Arabidopsis thaliana: one gene and its partners. The protein of the gene in region 3 interacts with the protein of the main gene of each other region in a pairwise test. Each region holds a gene or a part of one and is shown on either strand. Other genes may lie near its edges. The genes, in order: OFP4, AT5G41650 and ETT.

What was found.
Region 1: the proteins of ETT (region 3) and OFP4 interact in a two-hybrid assay, tested with the Arabidopsis thaliana proteins (one large-scale study listed by BioGRID).
Region 2: the proteins of ETT (region 3) and AT5G41650 interact in a two-hybrid assay, tested with the Arabidopsis thaliana proteins (one large-scale study listed by BioGRID).

What each region holds. Positions count from the first base shown.
Region 1 is NC_003070.9:2,123,606-2,128,910, forward strand, and holds OFP4 (ovate family protein 4), read right to left. Parts: upstream 2,298-5,305; 5' UTR 2,197-2,297; coding exon 1,249-2,196; 3' UTR 1,071-1,248; downstream 1-1,070. Other genes in the region: AT1G06923 (transcription repressor OFP17-like protein), read left to right, coding at 3,197-3,395, 3,480-3,793; AT1G06925 (endonuclease/glycosyl hydrolase), read right to left, coding at 4,099-4,432, 4,546-4,611, 4,975-5,006.
Region 2 is NC_003076.8:16,652,162-16,657,078, reverse strand, and holds AT5G41650 (Lactoylglutathione lyase / glyoxalase I family protein), read right to left. Parts: upstream 2,167-4,917; 5' UTR 2,124-2,166; coding exon 1,960-2,123; intron 1,788-1,959; coding exon 1,655-1,787; intron 1,558-1,654; coding exon 1,501-1,557; 3' UTR 1,219-1,500; downstream 1-1,218. Other genes in the region: AT5G41660 (uncharacterized protein), read right to left, coding at 1-63; AT5G41640 (hypothetical protein (DUF626)), read left to right, coding at 2,444-2,491, 2,791-2,922, 3,032-3,077, 3,375-3,742.
Region 3 is NC_003071.7:14,323,672-14,331,662, forward strand, and holds ETT (Transcriptional factor B3 family protein / auxin-responsive factor AUX/IAA-like protein), read right to left. Parts: upstream 5,308-7,991; 5' UTR 4,943-5,307; coding exon 4,619-4,942; intron 4,586-4,618; exon of another isoform or gene 4,141-4,585; coding exon 4,084-4,140; intron 3,998-4,083; coding exon 3,815-3,997; intron 3,696-3,814; coding exon 3,611-3,695; intron 3,530-3,610; coding exon 3,439-3,529; intron 3,349-3,438; coding exon 3,184-3,348; intron 2,996-3,183; coding exon 2,876-2,995; intron 2,781-2,875; coding exon 2,705-2,780; intron 2,584-2,704; coding exon 2,421-2,583; intron 2,336-2,420; coding exon 1,773-2,335; 3' UTR 1,535-1,772; downstream 1-1,534. Other genes in the region: AT2G33855 (uncharacterized protein), read right to left, coding at 1,046-1,480. UniProt on the Arabidopsis thaliana protein: Auxin response factors (ARFs) are transcriptional factors that bind specifically to the DNA sequence 5'-TGTCTC-3' found in the auxin-responsive promoter elements (AuxREs). Could act as transcriptional activator or repressor.

The DNA of each region.
Region 1 (5,305 bases), on a different chromosome or scaffold from region 3:
GTAGCCTTTTGTCTTTAAGACCCATAGAATAGCGTACGACGATGATTGTCTAGTGAATGGTTTTGTTAAGTAAACTAGGTTCCTTAGTCAAATGTAGACGAGCAGTTCATTTCGGTTTCATATTATTTTCTATTACGTTTTCTACTGTCTTGGTGTTTCATTTACGCAATGAGTCGATATCGATTAGGGTTTCGAAAAATTTACCTCAGAGATAAGCAGAGTTGTTTGAATCTTGACCTCAATATCGATTAGGGTTTCGAAATCCTTGTTTGAAAGAGAAGAATAAGAATCACAACGCCTCAAATATATAGCGTTGATAATGGGGCTTCGCTTTAATGGGCCTACAGTTTGTATTAAACCGGCCTTTCCCGTGCACTATATATCAAAATCGAGTTTGGTGTTTCATCATTTAATGTTTATGTTTTGTGGTTTGATCAATTCCCAAGAAATGTCTGTCCATACCGTACTAAGTACTACCAGTATAAATAGATGGTAGAGGAGATGGGCATTGGGAAGCAGCAGCAAAACAGTGGTCCTCATCTTCTTCATCACGACAACAAAGAGCCTTTAGGTTCTTAAAACTCTCTCTCTGCTTTTCCTCTTTAACCATATACTCTTCTGTGTCAGTGTTAGTTTCTCTCTCTAGCGATTTATGTTATTCAGGCTCCATTTTCATGTTTCCTGCTTCATTACTCATTAGGACTGGAACCCATTTCTACTCCGTACTTGATGGGTTTCTGACTTGTCTCCGTGTGGCTTCTTGTCACTACACTTTTGGCCTTTTCTTGACTCTTTTTTTTTTCTTTTGACATTTTCGCTCTTGTTACATAAGTCGTTACCATGACTAAACTCCATCAATCCTAATCTAATCCAAGGTTTATCACTACATGAAACTAATATAATAAAACTCTTTGGATTTGTATATTGTTTCTGAAAATATCACATAAACATTTAGCAGCACATACTGTTTCACATTTTAATTCTAAAATTGAATTATTATCATCCATGAGGCATGTATTGAATAAGTATGTTTTAGTTACTGATTTTTAAATTACTGAATAAGTATGTTCTATTACCTTCACAAACCATAACCAGAGACGAAAAGGAAGCGAGTGATTTATATGTCTTTATCACGTTATTCAGACAACACAAAAACTGGTCTTGCAAAGAAAATCTCCACGGCTACATCAAACTCTTTAAAAGAACTACAATTAACCAGAGATTTAAAGCTTTTGATCATAGTTCATTCTACTTCGATGCAAATGTAGAGTTTATGACTTCAAGCCAGACTTGAACGAAAACCTTGATAATGAGATCATGATACTCCTTGGGATTCAAGGTAAGGTAACATACTAGAAGATCCTCCATGTCGTTAGAGGTTCTGATGTTGTTCTCTGCTATCATCTCCACCATTGATTCTCTGAAATCCTTGCTCGGATCGATAGAACTCTTGATTACTGCAAAACTGTCAAGAATTTGTTTGTTCTGTGATCTTGATTTGCTTCTACGAGGCGAGACTTGAATTCTAGGAGATCTCGCTCTGAGCTTTATCCTTGGAGATTTAGCTGATGATCTTCTTCCACTAGAAACTAATGTTTTCTGATGTTTCTTCTTGGTTCGACATGCATCTTCCTCTTCATCTTCTTTCTCTTTACTGACCTTCACAGAGAGATGATGAGGTATATGTGTTTCCTTGGTTCGGTTACTTGCACGACAGGCTTTCTCCGTTGAATCAAACTTCGTGATCTCTTTGAAAGTTTTCTTCTTGAAATCTCTATTATTCATGTCGATGATAATATCATCTTCAGAAGAAATGACTTTCAAGTTGGAAGAGGCAGAGAGAGAATCATGGCTTTGATGAAATGTTTTGTTAAAACCTGCAGATACAATAGAAGAGGAAGGAGGAGAAGGCTTGTAAACAGTCTTTCTTTTGCTCTGTATGTTGTGAAGAGAGTTTCTTGGTGAAATTTGAAGGATCCTAGATTCAAAGGATGTGCGTGAGCGTGACCTATTGAAGAAGTAAGAAGTTGAAGAGTAAGGAAGAGACTTTGACTCAGAGGAAGGTTTTCTCTTCTTGGTAGTGTTTATGGAGTAAAGAGGAAGAGAATGCTTTTTTCTAGGTTTTGTCATGTTCTTGAGCTTGTGGAACCATTCACTTGGGCTCATAACTGACAATCTTAACTTATAGTTCCTCATCTCTAATTTCAAAAAATAAGTGATCTTCTCAGATAAAAGAGAGAAAAAAAATATGTATAGTTTGCAGAGTTTCTATGTGACAAATAAAAGAGAGAAGAAAGTGTAGAATTGGGATGTAAAAGGGACAAGACGGAACAAAATTGGGATCCACTTCATAGAATGTCTTTGTTTGTACCAAACTCATTCCGGCTTCTCTCCCTAACCGAATAACCAAGTTAAACCAAATCAAATCAAATTTAAATAAAATATCCTATCTAAACCGGTGTAATCGAAATAATTGAGGTGTACGTAGATGAGATTGAGAATTAAAAGGTTTTATTAGACTTGAAAATTGAGCAACAAAGTGTCCTCAAAAATTGTCTGTCGGTAGTAGGTCGATTGGTGGGTATCAATTAGACTAAATAGAATATTTCTGGTAAATTGCTTCCAAAACATAATTCGGCGAACGTGACAAAGGGTTTCAACAAAAGAGGTTAAACAAGATTTCAGGTTCATGTCCAATCTCTTAATATAGCCATAGTCATAGTATATAACAATAATGGTGTAGAAGAAACTGTAGAGAATAATAAAAGACATATTTGCATAAAACTCGGCGTGTCGTCTCCTTTTCACCAATTAGCTTGTGGTCTCCCTACCTCACACGTGTGTGTTTGACCAAAGCTTTTTTTTTTTGGGTCAACGACTCATATTTGAAGCTAGGGTTCGACAAACGAGCGGGGTCAGTCACAACCCTAACGACTACTACTGATCCCAGTAAACACCGATATATTTACCCACTCCTCCTACTCATAATGTGACAATATCTAGGTCAGATTATAGCTTAAAATTAAATTTGCAAAAAACATTCAAATTAAGGCTCAAGTTCATGGGACTCCACCATCACGACTTCGTGTCAAAGGAAAAGACGTGAAACCCACGTAACTCGAACCACCCTCCCAAACCTACACATTATACCACAACAACAACAACAAAGAATAAATCAGCTTCGGAAGGATCGAGAATGAGACTGAAGTCAAGTTTGATTAGCTTGAAATCAAAGCTTTCAAAATCATGCAACAGATTCATCTCCTTCTTCCATGCTCGTTTTCGCAATGTCAATACCACACAATCTTCATCATCTTCTTTGTTGTCTCGTCTCTGTTTTCTCAATACTAATAAGGAGCAGAGGATGAGCCAGATCAGACCCAGAAATTCCCCGTGTAACAACAATTTCTTTTGTAACTATTGTCGATTTTATAGAGTACCTTTGATCTAAATTTTATTCTACAAATATGCCACTGCAGCTAGTCTGATCGATGATTCCAAGCTTCTGCATTCAAGAAAGATGTTTCCTTTGGCTATGACGCAAAGGAACAAGAAAGCGAGGACGAGTCAAAGACATATGTTAAAGGAAGATGGTGTGAAAGAGGCTTGCAGAAGATTCGAGAACTATATGATCCATATGTTCGTTGAAGATGGGAAAATAGATGACTTGATGGACATGGAAGAGCTTCTCTATTATTGGAAGAATCTTAATAGTCCAATCTTCATTGATCTTGTGACTAGATTCTATGGAGAGCTCTGCACTGACCTGTTTCCAAGCGACCATGACGATTAAAGATCATTGAAATGGGTTTTATAATATATGCATGATAACACAGAGCATTGGATACAGAGTAGCTTTCTCTGTGTTCTGTTTTTTTTTTGTAAGTTGTACAACTTCAAGTGACAGGAACTTGATTTTACTACATTAAATCACGGAAATAAAAGATAATAAGAAAAGATTATTAAAGGATGGTACATTTCACATTTCTATTTACCAAGATTTCCGGTAAACCCCAGAATTCAAAAGATGAGAAATCTCAAGGTTTGGTTGCTTCTTCCCTCACCAATGGTAGTAGGCATTATTTCTCCGGAAAATAATCAAGGGGGAGCCTCGTCGTCTTCATAGGTATTATGTGGACGTGGAATCTTAGAATCAGGGGAGTCAATGAAAAGCGAAACCATGTATGTGGGACCTGTTTCAGAAACAACTAAGACTTGAGAAAGAGACTGACTCCACTCTCCAGTGGTTTCAAGGAAATCTCGAGGGACCTCTGATAGTACGCCAACGGCAGTGATGGTGATAGGGCCAGTGTAGTTAAACTTCCTCAAATTACGTTTTATAGACGGACCTACCCGAAGAGCATCATAGCCATCCGGAACCGGACACCCCTTTATCTCCCAATAGACCGATATTGTGGCCACAGCTGCCTCCCTCCATCATTCAAGGCCTTAAAGGTAAGAAAAGAAAAAAACAAATTCAGAATATATATATATATATAAGTTGTAGGCTATCTATGCAATTAGTCGATGAATTTGCAAAGAAACATGAAGAGATAAGGAGCAGAGAAATTTACCTGAGAGATAAGCAGAGTCGGTTCGGTTTCGAAATCCCTGATTGAAAGATAAAATTAAATATCAACCCCGCAAATATATAGGGTTGAGAATGGGCTTCGCTTTAATGGGCCTAGATTATTTTCAATCGGCCTTTCCCGTGCACCAATTCTAGTGTATTTTTTAAAGTTTTTTTTCTTGTGTGTAGTGATCGTTTATGTTAGTATTTTTTACATCATACAATGTCATTGAAAAAACTCTTTCAAAGTCTAATAGGATTGCATGTCTCGGATATATTATTTTTACTTTCTGAAAACTCTTTAAATAATTTTCATAATTATGAGAAGAAAAAAAAGATTTTTGCAAGTTTAAATTTTTTAAAAAGATTCAGATTTTTTTTTCGTATTTGGACCTTGATTTTACAGGACCGAAACTGAGTAGCAGCCTAACTTCATGTAGCAAGAAAGCTAGTATTGTGATCTTCTTACTAATTATGCTATTTCTTAAATGTAGTTTTGTAACTTTGTAACGTACGTTGAGAATGAAATATTAATTAAATGTTATAACTATAACTTATATAATTAAAATGTTAGAAATATGTTTTCTAATACTAAAATAAAAGATATGAGTAGAGAAATCAAACAATCACTCACAAAACAGAGTTCTAGGGGTAGGATCGACCAAGTGTCTTGGAAGTTATAATTGGATCAGATGATCTGGAACAGGATAATACTCTCAGTGGCTTCCAAGAAGC
Region 2 (4,917 bases), on a different chromosome or scaffold from region 3:
ACATGGCAGAGTAGCAACGTCCCGACGCCGGCGATTTTTACCTCCGCCGGCGCCAGAAAACATGGTCGGGAGAGACTTCTCGATAACTGTGTCTAGGAGGATATTGACATTAAAGCATCAATAAATAATTAAAAGCATGAAGTTAAAAGAAAACTTCACAGCCCTCCTCTCTTAGTTATTTATTCCATAAGAATAAGGATTATAAATTGAAAAGAATATAGTTAATCTCTAGAGTGTCGACGACTGTTTGAACTGGTATATTTGGATTACATGATACTACACATAAAAACTCTTTATCCCTTTCACTTGAGGAGATCATTTCTTGGTAGAACATAGACACTCTTGACCTTTTCCGTTTTTCAAAATCTCGCAATTACTTCGCTTTTCACTAGATCCTGCTTAAAACCTGATATACTATACGCCATGCATTGATCTTTTTCGACATGGTGTAAACTCGAATATGTTTTCTAACTTCTGTTTTCATATAGATTTTTGTTTACATTCAACCAAGTTTCATATAAAACGCTAGTTTTTAACCGATCAAGTGATTTTCGGATGGAACCACACCAGTATCTTCACCGTACTTTTCAAATCATTAACATCTATTTGGCCCGCAGAGATCAAACATGCATTCAGTGCGCAATTTTCAACAAATATATAACCTTTGTGAAGACTACCATTTAATACTTGTATTTTAGAGTGCTATCAAATTTAACTATCTCCAAAACTATTTTTACTGTCCCGAAAGTATTTGAGGAAATGTATAAATATACTAAGTTACACGATTTGACCACCTAGTATTTTGTCATATTTGAAAGGGGCGATTCCATTCTTGCATTGCATGTCGAAATTTCAAAGATTAATCAATGAAAGTTAATAGATTTTACTTGGAAAAGAATTTTAAATTGCAAAATATCTCTAAGTAATTAAGCACTAGATGAAAGTGCATTGGTAATGTCCAACATTTAGGATTCGGTGCATAATTTTTGTTGTATTTGTTTGTAACCAACTACAAACATAATGGTCCCCAATTTATCATAATCTTGACAAGATCTTTGAAAAATCAACCCACTTCATAAAAATCAATATAAACCATATGGAGGCATGGACTAAAGTAGTAATGCTCCAAAACTTGAGGGCAGTTTTGTAAAATGCTGACCTAACAACATTTAGTCAACCCTTCAACAACTACAAAAGCACTAAACAAAACTCCATTAAGTCCACTTCAATAGATCTTGTCAATTTCAAAGCATTGTGTAGAAATGAATCCGTCACTTTCAGGATATTATATATAATGAATGGAAAAAAATTGACTTGAGAAAAGCTTACTAGAGAAACAATGTGAAGAGCAAGTTAAACATGAACCAATATAAAGTATAATAGTGGCTTAGGTTTCTAAGAAGTATACAATAGCTTCAAAGAGATTATGGATATGATCTCTAAACAAATCTACTCTATGCATAATTGGCTTCCTTTCAGGCTTCAATTCTATTCATTTGCTCATGCAGCCTCATAAAGGCCTAACATGTAACCATCAGGGCATTTCATAGCCGCAACCTAGTAAAACAAAAAAACAACCGCAAAAATACTTCAAATCCCATTTCAGCAAGTAAGTATGAAATGAAACTTGAACATCTTCATAAGAAATTGTAACCTTTCCATGTATCTCATACTTGATAGTGCCATCTAATTCAGCTCCTAAAGCCATAAGTTTAGTCACTGTTGTATTAATGTCAGTGACTGTGAACGATAGAAGCGATGAGTATCCCTTCTCAGCAACATGATTGCTGCGGAAAAAAGAAAGTCTTTGAGAGGTCTTCTCAGCGATAAACAGTGTAACACAAAAGTCCAAATCCGGAAGTTATTTTAAGGGAATAAACTCAGAAAGTTTTCATTGAGGCAAATGATCAAACAGGTTGTGTGCTTTGAGCAATAATGGAACAAAAGAGGAGATAAAACCTAGGAGATTGCATAAGAGCTAGCTTGATAGGACCAGAATGGAGCTCAGCCCAGCGTAAAGTGACGACATTGACGGAAAAGTCGAGACCTTGAGCATAGAATCGAGCAGCTTTTGGTACGTCTCTGTGAAGCTGCAGAATCCACCTAAACGACGCCGTCGCCATCTCTCTCTAGACGAAGACGAACGAGTGTAAAATAAAACACAATACAAAAAAAAGATTGGCCATTTGACCCAAAAAACAAAAACAAAAACAAAAAAAAGATTGGCCCAATACACATTATTGGGCTTCTTTCGGGCTCACCTCTAAATGGTACCGTGTCGCACTCTCTGCAATATAAACCAGATATGAGATAGCTATTGGTTTATTTGAAAAAAAGGAAAGAGAATTTTTGGGTTGTTAAGGCCCAAATAAAACCCATAAATCAGTGGACTGGATTAGATAATAGAGTGGACAATCCTAAATTGATTGTGTGGAACAAAAGCATGAGCCGCTTGGTTCAGACGATGTTGTTATGGCTCAAAAGCGAAAAGGTAAAACACAAAGGGATGAATTTGGGGACGTAATCTAATAAAATTGACCATAATTCTTAAACTTCTAGGGTTCCTTATTTCGGAACGACACATATACACAAGCTTTATGAGGGAGAGGACGATGTCGCTGCCAATTGAAACAAAGAGGCTTTGAATAATAATTTTCGTCATAAGTCAAAATTTTACGAAATGAGTGAAGAAATACAAGGTAATCTTCTTAGCTTCTTATATAATTAAGAGATTTGTTTTTAAATCGGTTACCAGATAGAGATTAATGATAACTTAAATGAATATCTTAGGGGTTCGATACTACAGAAGCGAGTGATGGTCCTGAACTTCAAAAATCCATCTGTGATAAAAGGTGGTCACCTTGTTGTACCTTAGTCCGCCTTTATGCTAGGATGGGTCTTCATCGTTACAATTTGTTGAAGGTAATTCTAAGTCAATACTCTTCTTCTCGATCTCTTTTTTGTTTGTCAATTGTTGTATTGCACCACAATTCATTTTTTTTTGTTTGATCATCATGGGAAGAATTTACAGCTTAGTCGTGTAAAGAAATACAATATGAGTACGCATTATGCTGCTTGTAATTACTACATAACTTTGGTTGCTATGGATCCAGCTCGCAGCAAACTTTTGAATTTTCAAACTAAAGTTGATGAAGAACGTTTTGGCAAGTTTATTTTGAAATTCCCTATTGCTAGACCTCGAGGAAAAATCACTTAGGATGGAGCTTTGATAACTGAATGCTATTTCTACGTCAAAGGTGATTTGCTTAAGTGTCCCTCGGAGGATATTTTCGAAAATAGAAAGCGATTTTACGTGGTGGAGGAATCAAAGCTGCAAGTCAATGACTGGATTCTTCTATATTTGGAAGTTGCAGTTGCCACAACTCATAGGAGCAATGGTAAATATCATGATCTCTCCGACTTGAAAATTTTTGAAAGTAGTGAAGATGTGGAGCCACCTAATGAGGTATCACTCAATGTCATTAATGTGATTGTCTACATAGTGTACAAGGACTTTTATGAGTCTCGGTTGGTAAGGATGTTGATCGCAAAGCTATTGTTAAACGAAGCTTCAATGAGCATAATGGACGCTTCATTGTCGAGGGTCGAAATAAGGTTATCAAATCCGATTTGGGTCTGGTCCGACATTTACGAGTGTCCTACGCAAAAACTTAATGACATGTCCTTTTCATATATTCCAGAAACATACTTAGTAATAAAAATAAAATCTACTAAGTACTAACCTTTAAATAACGGTTTAAAAATTCTAAAACAATGGAAAAGAACTACAAAAAAATGTTGCTTTGACAATATTTTAACAGCAAGCCAAAGCAAAAAGTATGATAGCAAGTGTTTTGTGTTCGTGAATATAAAATGTTAAAATTAGATTATATGAAATTGTGTGATTATTGTTTAACACAAATCAAAGCCAACATGTTGGATGAAGATGTTTGTTTTCATAGTTTAACAAAGCTAAGTAGCTAAAGAAAAAGTCGCTAACGATCTAGCGATTTAAAATTTCAAATTTAACTAATCATTGCATTTGCAACTTTTTTTCTTCTTTTCAAATTTCCAAATAAAAAAGTAAAACAACAACAAATTGAAATTCAAAACTAATAATTAACCTCAAAATCTTTGTTTTATTCATATATGGCCACAATTTTTTAAAAACCCTAAACATATATGAAAGTTTAACATAGTTTTTTACTAGAAAAGGCCCTCAAAATTTGAGACCTTTATCACTTGCTTATGTTCCTTGGCATCTGGGCCAAGCCTGAGCCAGGTGGCGCATGGTGTTGACTAATCCAAAATAAGATAGATTCTGCTCAAATGAGATTATTTAGATAAAATTTGAAATAGCTAATTGATGAGCTTTATTGGAATGTAAAGAACAGAGAAAGGTGAAAGCTTGAGACTTTTCTTTAAGGGAAAAATAGATTTCGATTATGTTTCATTAAAGGTTGAATGTGGCTGCTCAAAGAAGCAACCTTGGTTACATTCATACATGACTTACATCATATATATATGAGACCTCTTACTACAAAACCTCATAACATGTGCTTAGATGGGCTTCCCTAGTGTTAATATATTAGGCTTCTTTGTGGCATCTTATATATTGCATACAAAAGCTAAGATTAGATCAGTGTTAGGTAAAAACAATGCTCGAGAATGGTTTATAACCTTTGACGTACAAATAAATTTTATGCTCATAATGCTTAATTTATAGCAACGTTAACTCATTATCATCAACAAAAGCTGTGATCCTATTTCAAGAAGAGAACAGTAAGCAAGTGCTAATTTTATTCAACATTATATAGCGAAAAGAGAGACAAATACAAGATGAGATTATAAGAAAAAAATGGAGAAAACATTAATTACACACAAGTCATTAAGGGAAGTAAAACAAGAGTTTAGATG
Region 3 (7,991 bases):
ATTAGGACGGTGGGTTTAAGAGATAGTGAACGATAAGCGACTACAAGAATTGATACATCCATCAATTAAGCATTGCATAAATTATACCACTACACGTTGGTACGTGTATATTCCAACAACATTTGATAGAAGATTAGCACGTCAAGTTTGCATGTGGCTTCCGTAAGAAGCTGCAAGATGGACAACCATGTACACTAAATACTTCCATTATCGGGTATTCGATGGCATGAGAAGTTTTATAAATATAAGTATGAACTTCATTTATATGAATCTAAACCTTTTTCTGTGACTGTGAGATTTCTATTTAGTAGAGAAAGGAAACACTCACAAACACTAGTTTCACCAAATGCATCCACACTCTTTAGTCTTTATAATCCCGCTTGGTAATCATCCTCATAGATCATTTTAGTTCTTTTACTTGATTAATTATTACCTATTATTTTTCCGTTAAAATTTGAGTGTTCTGCTAATTAGCTAACCTACAATATCATCCATTTCTCTGCCATATTTTACAAACCTTAAGATTTCACCATTGCTAATCCTATATAATCCAAAAGAAATATTAATCCATTCCTCCAATAAAATAGCACCAGTCTACAACATACTATTCTGCTCAAGATACTAGTACTACTACCACTATTCAAAGTCCTTTATTATTTTTGTTTGTAACAAATTGACAATCATCACTACTGAACATTTTCAAGTTTTAAGCAAGACAAAGAAATCAAATCCCAAAAAACTTGTTGGGTTTCATAAATGTGACCCTATGAATGATGGATGCTACTTACATCCAAACGGAAGAATAGAAGACCCTTGAAACCAAACCGGATCAAGTCAAACCAAGTCCCTTGAAACCAAACCGAACAAAATAAAAAACCATACATATTACCGGTTCGATACGGCCGGTTTTTTTATTACACTAAATCCAAACGAGAGAGTATTGAGTCTATGTCTCTTCGTCTTCTTCATTACAAAACACACAGATCTTGTTTACAACAAATTCAATAACTTACAGATAATCTGTAACAGATTCACCACCATAAATTTACTCAGGAAGAGGATCCCATAACAAGAGAGTAAACAAAAGCAAATTCGGAACTAAAAGAGGAATATATGGATTCACTTCATTCACCAATCTCTTCCTCCTCAGCCTCTTCCTCGCATACTCTCTCCTCTCCTCTTTCCCCCATTTCCCTTCCTCAACTCCGACAGCCATAACCGCCGCCGGTGGCTGATAATACGGGCTATTCGACCTCCACGATGTATCAGGCAGCCCAAATCTCGATACCCTTTTGAAGAACTGAGAAACCCACCATTGACGGAGATGCGTCGGCGAATAGACCGGAGGGTAATCCCACGATACGTAGTTTGGAATTATGGCTCCGATGAAGAATTGAGAGTAAAGTGATGGTTTCGTTGTTGGGTTTGTGAGGATATGTGTCACCGCTTGTATTCTCTGTCCCCATGTCGTCTCCTCCATTGGCTTGGATTACGTTTTCTTTGAGTGGCACAGAGAGAGATAACGATATCGGACTCCTTCCGGTTAAATTAGAATTACGAATTGAACCGGTTGGTACAAACACAAATAACCGGAATTGATGCAAACACTTTTTAAATTGAACCTAACACAGAACATTCTTGAACCAAGTTTACAAGTCTCTCATAAGTCACAACTTGTGACATTCCAAAAGTTAGCAGCAAGTCATCATCAACTAAAATAAGAACTTTACTTAAGCCACAAGCAAATAAAACACAGAAACCAAAGAACCCTTCTAGAGAGCAATGTCTAGCAACATGTCTCTCATTGCATAGATGTCCCTTCCTTGCGAATGATGATGATTGCTTTGAACAGCTGACGCACCTTTCATGGAATTCCCTTCAACGCAGGGGACAGCCGTCGCAGATGCAACTGCTGTGGTTTCGTCGGTTAATGGGAAACCAAACAGCCTGCATCTGCCTGAACCTCCGTGATGGTCTTCCAGACGTCCGTTAGGACTGTTCGAGTTGGTAAGCAAGACGGAAGAGGGTGATGATGATACAGATGGGGGGAGGATACGTGTACTAAAGTTCTGGAACGGCCCACACCAAATGTTCCTCTGGCTCAACCCGTGCTGCTGCCGATGATCGGTTATTGAGTAGGCGGGAACTGTTTCTTGACCTTGCAAGACCTTATGGAAACCATAAGAGTCACCAAATTCTGTTCCTTTGAAGCGGCCTCTCCTGGCACCGGCTCCACCATCCGAACAAGTGTTGATAAAACCCGGAAAAATTTCTTGACCTTGCAAGACCCTCTGGAATCTCAATGATTCCTCAAAGTCTGTGGCGCGAATCCCCTCTGCAATAATAGCAGAAAACGTTATATTACAGGCGATAAATGGTTATATGAGTGGTACAATGTCTTTGGCTAAGTAGATGTGTACCAGAGACAGGGATATCAGGCTTTCCTGAGGAAAAGCCAATCCTGCTTCTCTTGGGACCAGTTGTTACGAAGCTGCCTGAATTGGAGATGGAACCAGATGGTTCGATCTCCCATGGCGAGACACGCTGTTGATGCCCATTTGCCACAATGTCGTCCCACCTTACCTGAATATGACGTCAAAACATAGTTTCAGAGCAGTGAGCTTACGGATATAGAAAAGGCAACAATCTTATAGAAGACCTCTCAGACCAAACTAATGACTTAAGAACATAATTCATAGCTTACCAAAAGGCATCTCCATTTTGAACCAGGCCACCTGATTGGATCCAAGTCGCTGATACCACTTATAATCCCAGGGGATCTGACAAAACAGGTGAAACATGTTAGAAAGTTGGGCATATAAAACACAGGTGTGCAAGGTTATCTTAAAGCTTGAATTATAAGTCTATAAGTAACCTTCTCTCAGATGCATCTTCAGATTCAACCCTCGCTTTAAATCTCATCCCAATGCAAAAGGGATAGTCAACAACCTTCAAGAACTTTGGTGCAGGGATTATGAAGTTTGACCAGCTTGCCCTGAAAATGTTTTACCAGTGAACTAGTATTAATGCTAAATTCCTGATATTTATTGGAGTTAACAAACTTCTAAGGAACAATCAACTAGAACAATACACAACTTAAGGCTTCAGGAGATTCTAATTATGATTCTGAAATGAAATTTTAAATGCTGAAAACGAAAAAAGGTCATTGTGGTTGGGGCTTACTTGGGGTTGTAGGAAATGCTGAAAACGCTATGGGTCGATATGGCATGAGCTACTTCAGAGAAATTGTTGTGGTTCATATTCTGATTATATTGAGCCGAGAGAGCAGCGGTGCCTTCGATTTGAGAAGCTCTTCTAACTCCCAGTCGCAGTTTGCCATCATCTCCTCTGTATCAGAGAAACCCATATATCACAAAACCTCTTACAGAAAATCAAAGAGGTTGTGTAGTGAGAAAACATAGAAGCATTTTTAACTACCTAAGGAAAAGCACAGCATCACCAGAGACAAGCTTCTTCTTGTTCACAAACGCACTCCACCCGGTAGTGAGCAAATGCCTCCTAGGTTGCCCTAAAAGTCACTCAAACCATTCAAATTTTCCATCTACTAAATCCAGGCAAGAAAAATTGCAACATAAGGCAACAAACTTACCTCGATAAATGTGGCGAAATCGCCACTCCAGGCCATGAAGATCCCTAGCAAGAAGCTCCTGAGAAGGCCGGGGCTGGCTATAGTCCTACATAACAAAATGATTATGTAGTTAAAATCTCTCAATATGAGCTAATAAGAGAACTCTAGAACACAATGTGCAATGTACAAAGCTGATTACAGAATCTACAGAGAGTGGATTAGTACCAGAGGAGGGAAGCAATCCTCAGCAGCTCGGCGAGGAACAGAGAAACCACCATGGGTGCTTGTATCAGAAGCAGTAAGGGTTTTGCAAAACATGTGAGGAGTATTAGACCTCTTAAGCACTTCATAATCTTCCTCTCCACCATCAACATCTATAATTCCTTCACGCACCTTCCTCTCAATGTCCTGTAACAAATCAACTCAAACCCCCTAAGCTCGAGCAAATTTCTCTCTCTTTGTTACAAAACTCAAGAGCCTAAAGAAAAACTCACCTCTGACTCAGGAAGAAGAGAGACTTGAGCATAAACTTCATCTGTAGTCGTCTCTGCCTACGAAATCAAAATCCCCCACATTTTGTTTATTAATCCTCACAACAACAAAAAAAGTTTAAACCTTTACAGAGAATTGAATTGTTCTGAAATCAATTGTCATCAAAATGGAGCAAAAGGCGAAACTTTGAAATCAAATTCATTATCATCAAAGAAAAAACTGAAGATAATTTATGGGGATTTCAAGTATTCGTCATCAAAATGCCACGAGAAGAAATGCAAATGGAGCAAAAGAGGAAACTTTTCTCCCAACATAAATTCGTTTGTCTCAAACAATTCAATAAACCAAAGGCACAAATCTCCATACTTGTATCGAAAACCCAACTCAGATTCACCAAACAAACAATTAAAAAAATCAAAGAATCAGAAAAACAGAACAAAACCCATATCTCTCTGCTTTGAGAGCAGAGGAGAAAACATAAATGAAGAAAACAAAACAAAACAAAAAATAGAAAGAAAGAGAGAGTTAGTTACATACGTGAAGCTTAACATCGAGAATACGACAGAACACGTGAGGAGGGAGCCCGTAAATCGCGGCGGAGAAATCGGGGGCTTGTTCCAAATGTCCCTGAGGGAAATACAACACAAGGCTTCCTCTTTTTGGTAGAGAGATAAGGGGTCCAGCACAAGCATGCCACAGCTCCAAACAAACCCCTCCACCAGCAGAATTCGAAGACACCACAGACACAGAAGCTGAAGAAGACGAAGTAGGAGAGACAGACCCAGAAGCTGAAGACGGTGTTTGCGTTTGCGTTTCGTCTTCCTCCGTCTCCATCACGTTCAGATCGATTAAACCACCCATTAAAGAGAGAGAAACAGAGATAAAGATAAGAGCTTTATTATAAGAAAGAAAGAAAAAAAACTCAGAGGAGTTTCTTCATGACTTTTACCCTCTCAGCCAAAAGAAGAGAGAGTAGTAGCACAGTGATGAGTGAGTCTTTAAGCCGTGGAGAAAAAAAACTTTTCTATTAAAGAAAAAAAAAAAACTAGAAAAAAAGTTTAGATTTTTAATTTGGACAATGTTAAAAGAGAGAGGAGAGAGAGAGGTATCAGAGAAACAGAACAGTACTGAGTGCTCTCTGCAACAGTGAGGCTCTCTGCTACGTCTGGTGACTGATGTGTGTGGTGTGGCTTTTAGACCTTTTGTGCGTGGAGAGAGAGACATTAGATGGGATTAGATTTTTGAAATAGATTGATTTCTTTGCTTTCTCTTTATATTATTATTATCTTTTACACAACAGTTTCTTTGCAATGTTGATACTATTGGATTTTAGTACTGATATAATAATTATTGTTACAAGTATATGGTTTTTAGTTAATCATTTATATATAATAAGATCTACAAAAGAATAATTTCGTCTCTGTTGTCTCTTTGTCTTTGAATCATTTTTATTGATATTATTGTGGGAGAAATAAAAGAATACTGGTGGCATACTTTTAGGGATTGATGCACATTATTAGTGAAATAGTTTAAATCATTTATCCATTATTATATGACTAGTTCATGTGGTTTTGTGTTTTGTGGCGAAGATTTGGACTACCGTTATATTCTAAAGTACATTGGGGGATAGTTTTCTTTCATGCCTTTGATTTTCAGTAGTTTAGTATATGGTGAAAAGGGTTGTATATTTTTCTGATTAAAATTACACCTTTGTGATAAATAATCAGTGTTTATTGCTGTTATTCGAATTCGGAACTAGTTAGATGGATTTTAAAAATATTTTAGAAGATCATGCATTAGTATATATATATATATTGGTTTGTGCTAATGTTATTGATCTATCATTTTAGTAAACGATTTAATACGACCTATTCATCATCGCCTAATCACATTGTTCCCAATAGATCACATTAATCATAGTCGACCACATTGTTTCTTCCTCACTTCTTGTTGTATTTTTTTATGAAGAAGAAACACATTTGCTTACTAAATTTGTCATCATTTTTAAACCAATGGTTGGAATGACTTGATACCATCATCAAGTGAAAGTTAACACATTTTGTTGCCAATGTGTCCAAATTTGGATTTGATTTGAAATAACATTTTATTTTCCTCTAACCAAACGATTCAAAATAACAAAACCACATTAAATGACTAACGAGGACTAAATTTGAAACAAATAACTTCGTATCTTGTGACAAATTTGATTTGTGAGCTAGATCTAATTTTTTTTGATAAAAAAATAAAGTTAAGGCAAGAAGAAACAATCTTAAGAAATTTGTGCATGAACCTGTTATCAACGGCGAATAAATTGATGGATACACAAGTCATCCGAATTTCTAAAGAAACCTACCTAATGGCTATTGTAAAAACAGGAAGAATTATTGCATAAGTACAAAGTAGGGTCCATTAATGGTAGGGCATATTGAGAGAAACAAATGGTAGAGATTATATATGTTTTTGGTAAGATGAGGTTTCGAAAATTCTTATAATTATGTCTACCCAGATGAGGAACTAGCCTAATCATATCAGTATATCACACTTTGAATTAAATTAGAGCTTAATACACATGCAAACAAAAACATTGTTCTTCTTTACCTAGTACATTGTTCACTCCTTTCAGTTCTATGCAAAATTAGATCGATTTACACTTGAACTAGTGATGATGCTATATGAAAGAAATTACAATGTTTATCCTTGAGTTGTGTTAGATATTTCGCAACTCATAAGTTTATTTTTTTCCCACATACTAATAAAGTTCGGAAATGTTTTTTATTGTATATAACTATGGTTTGTGTACATTAAATCTCTTGATAATAAATTTAATCTTTTCATAAATAAGACTATTTATGTAACATATTGAATTTAAGTGCAGTGTACGTTGATTTTTCCAACGGCATCAAAGTAAACGAGAGATTTGAAATGTTTTTCTTTTCTTTTACTTTTTAGCTTCATATATCAAACATGCAAATATCTTATCTATTGTCTCTGCTAAGTGATATTCTTATACCGTTTTAAATCTAAAAATACTAATCAACTTCTTTTACTAATAATACTTACTATCAAACCACAATTTGAATATCTTCTCTTTTTCCTACAAAACATTGTTGTACATATGTATAGAGAGTTAAACACAAACCAAAGCAAACATGAAAAGTACCCAACATTTTCTTTCATTGCCGATTGTTGTGAGAATGAATCTCATCTCAACAACAAGCACAATGTAGCAAACAAGAGAACAATGAAAGTACAAGTAAATACAAGAAACATGCAAGGGTAGAAATGTAAGATAAAAAGAATCTGCAAAAAAAAGGACAAATAGAGAAAAAGTGAGAAGAAGGTCTTAAATTGGGAGTGTCATAAATTACAAAGAACCCGAGGATCAGGGGGGACTTTTTTCTTTCTTTCTTTCAAATTTTTTTTTTCTCTATAAATAAAAAAGAAATATGTTTTTGCTTATTAAATTTTGATGAACACGCGAGACAGTGTAGATGTAGATAGATACAGCTATAGAAGAGAGAGGCACAACAACAACAACAACAACAACAACAACAACAAAAGTGGTTTAGAGATTGGGGCAGGACCCGGACAAAACGGGTTACAAATCCAAATACCCAATTGGTTAATGCCCCGACATCTGTTTCCTATCTTCTTTTGGAAAGTCTCTCGAGCCTCACGCTCTTCCCATTGCGCGTATTCTTCACACTCTCTTTGCTCTTCTTTGGTCTTCTTTTTACCCGTTTCAGACACTGTTCACTTACTTCTTCTTCTTCTACTTTTTTCTCTCTCTCTCACTCTCTTTGCAGTAGAACTTAGCCCCACTTTCATTCAATGCTTCGCTTTCGTTTTTTTATTCATTCGAGGGTTCAACACAATTTTTCCTCCTCCCAATATTTATTTTTGAGATTGT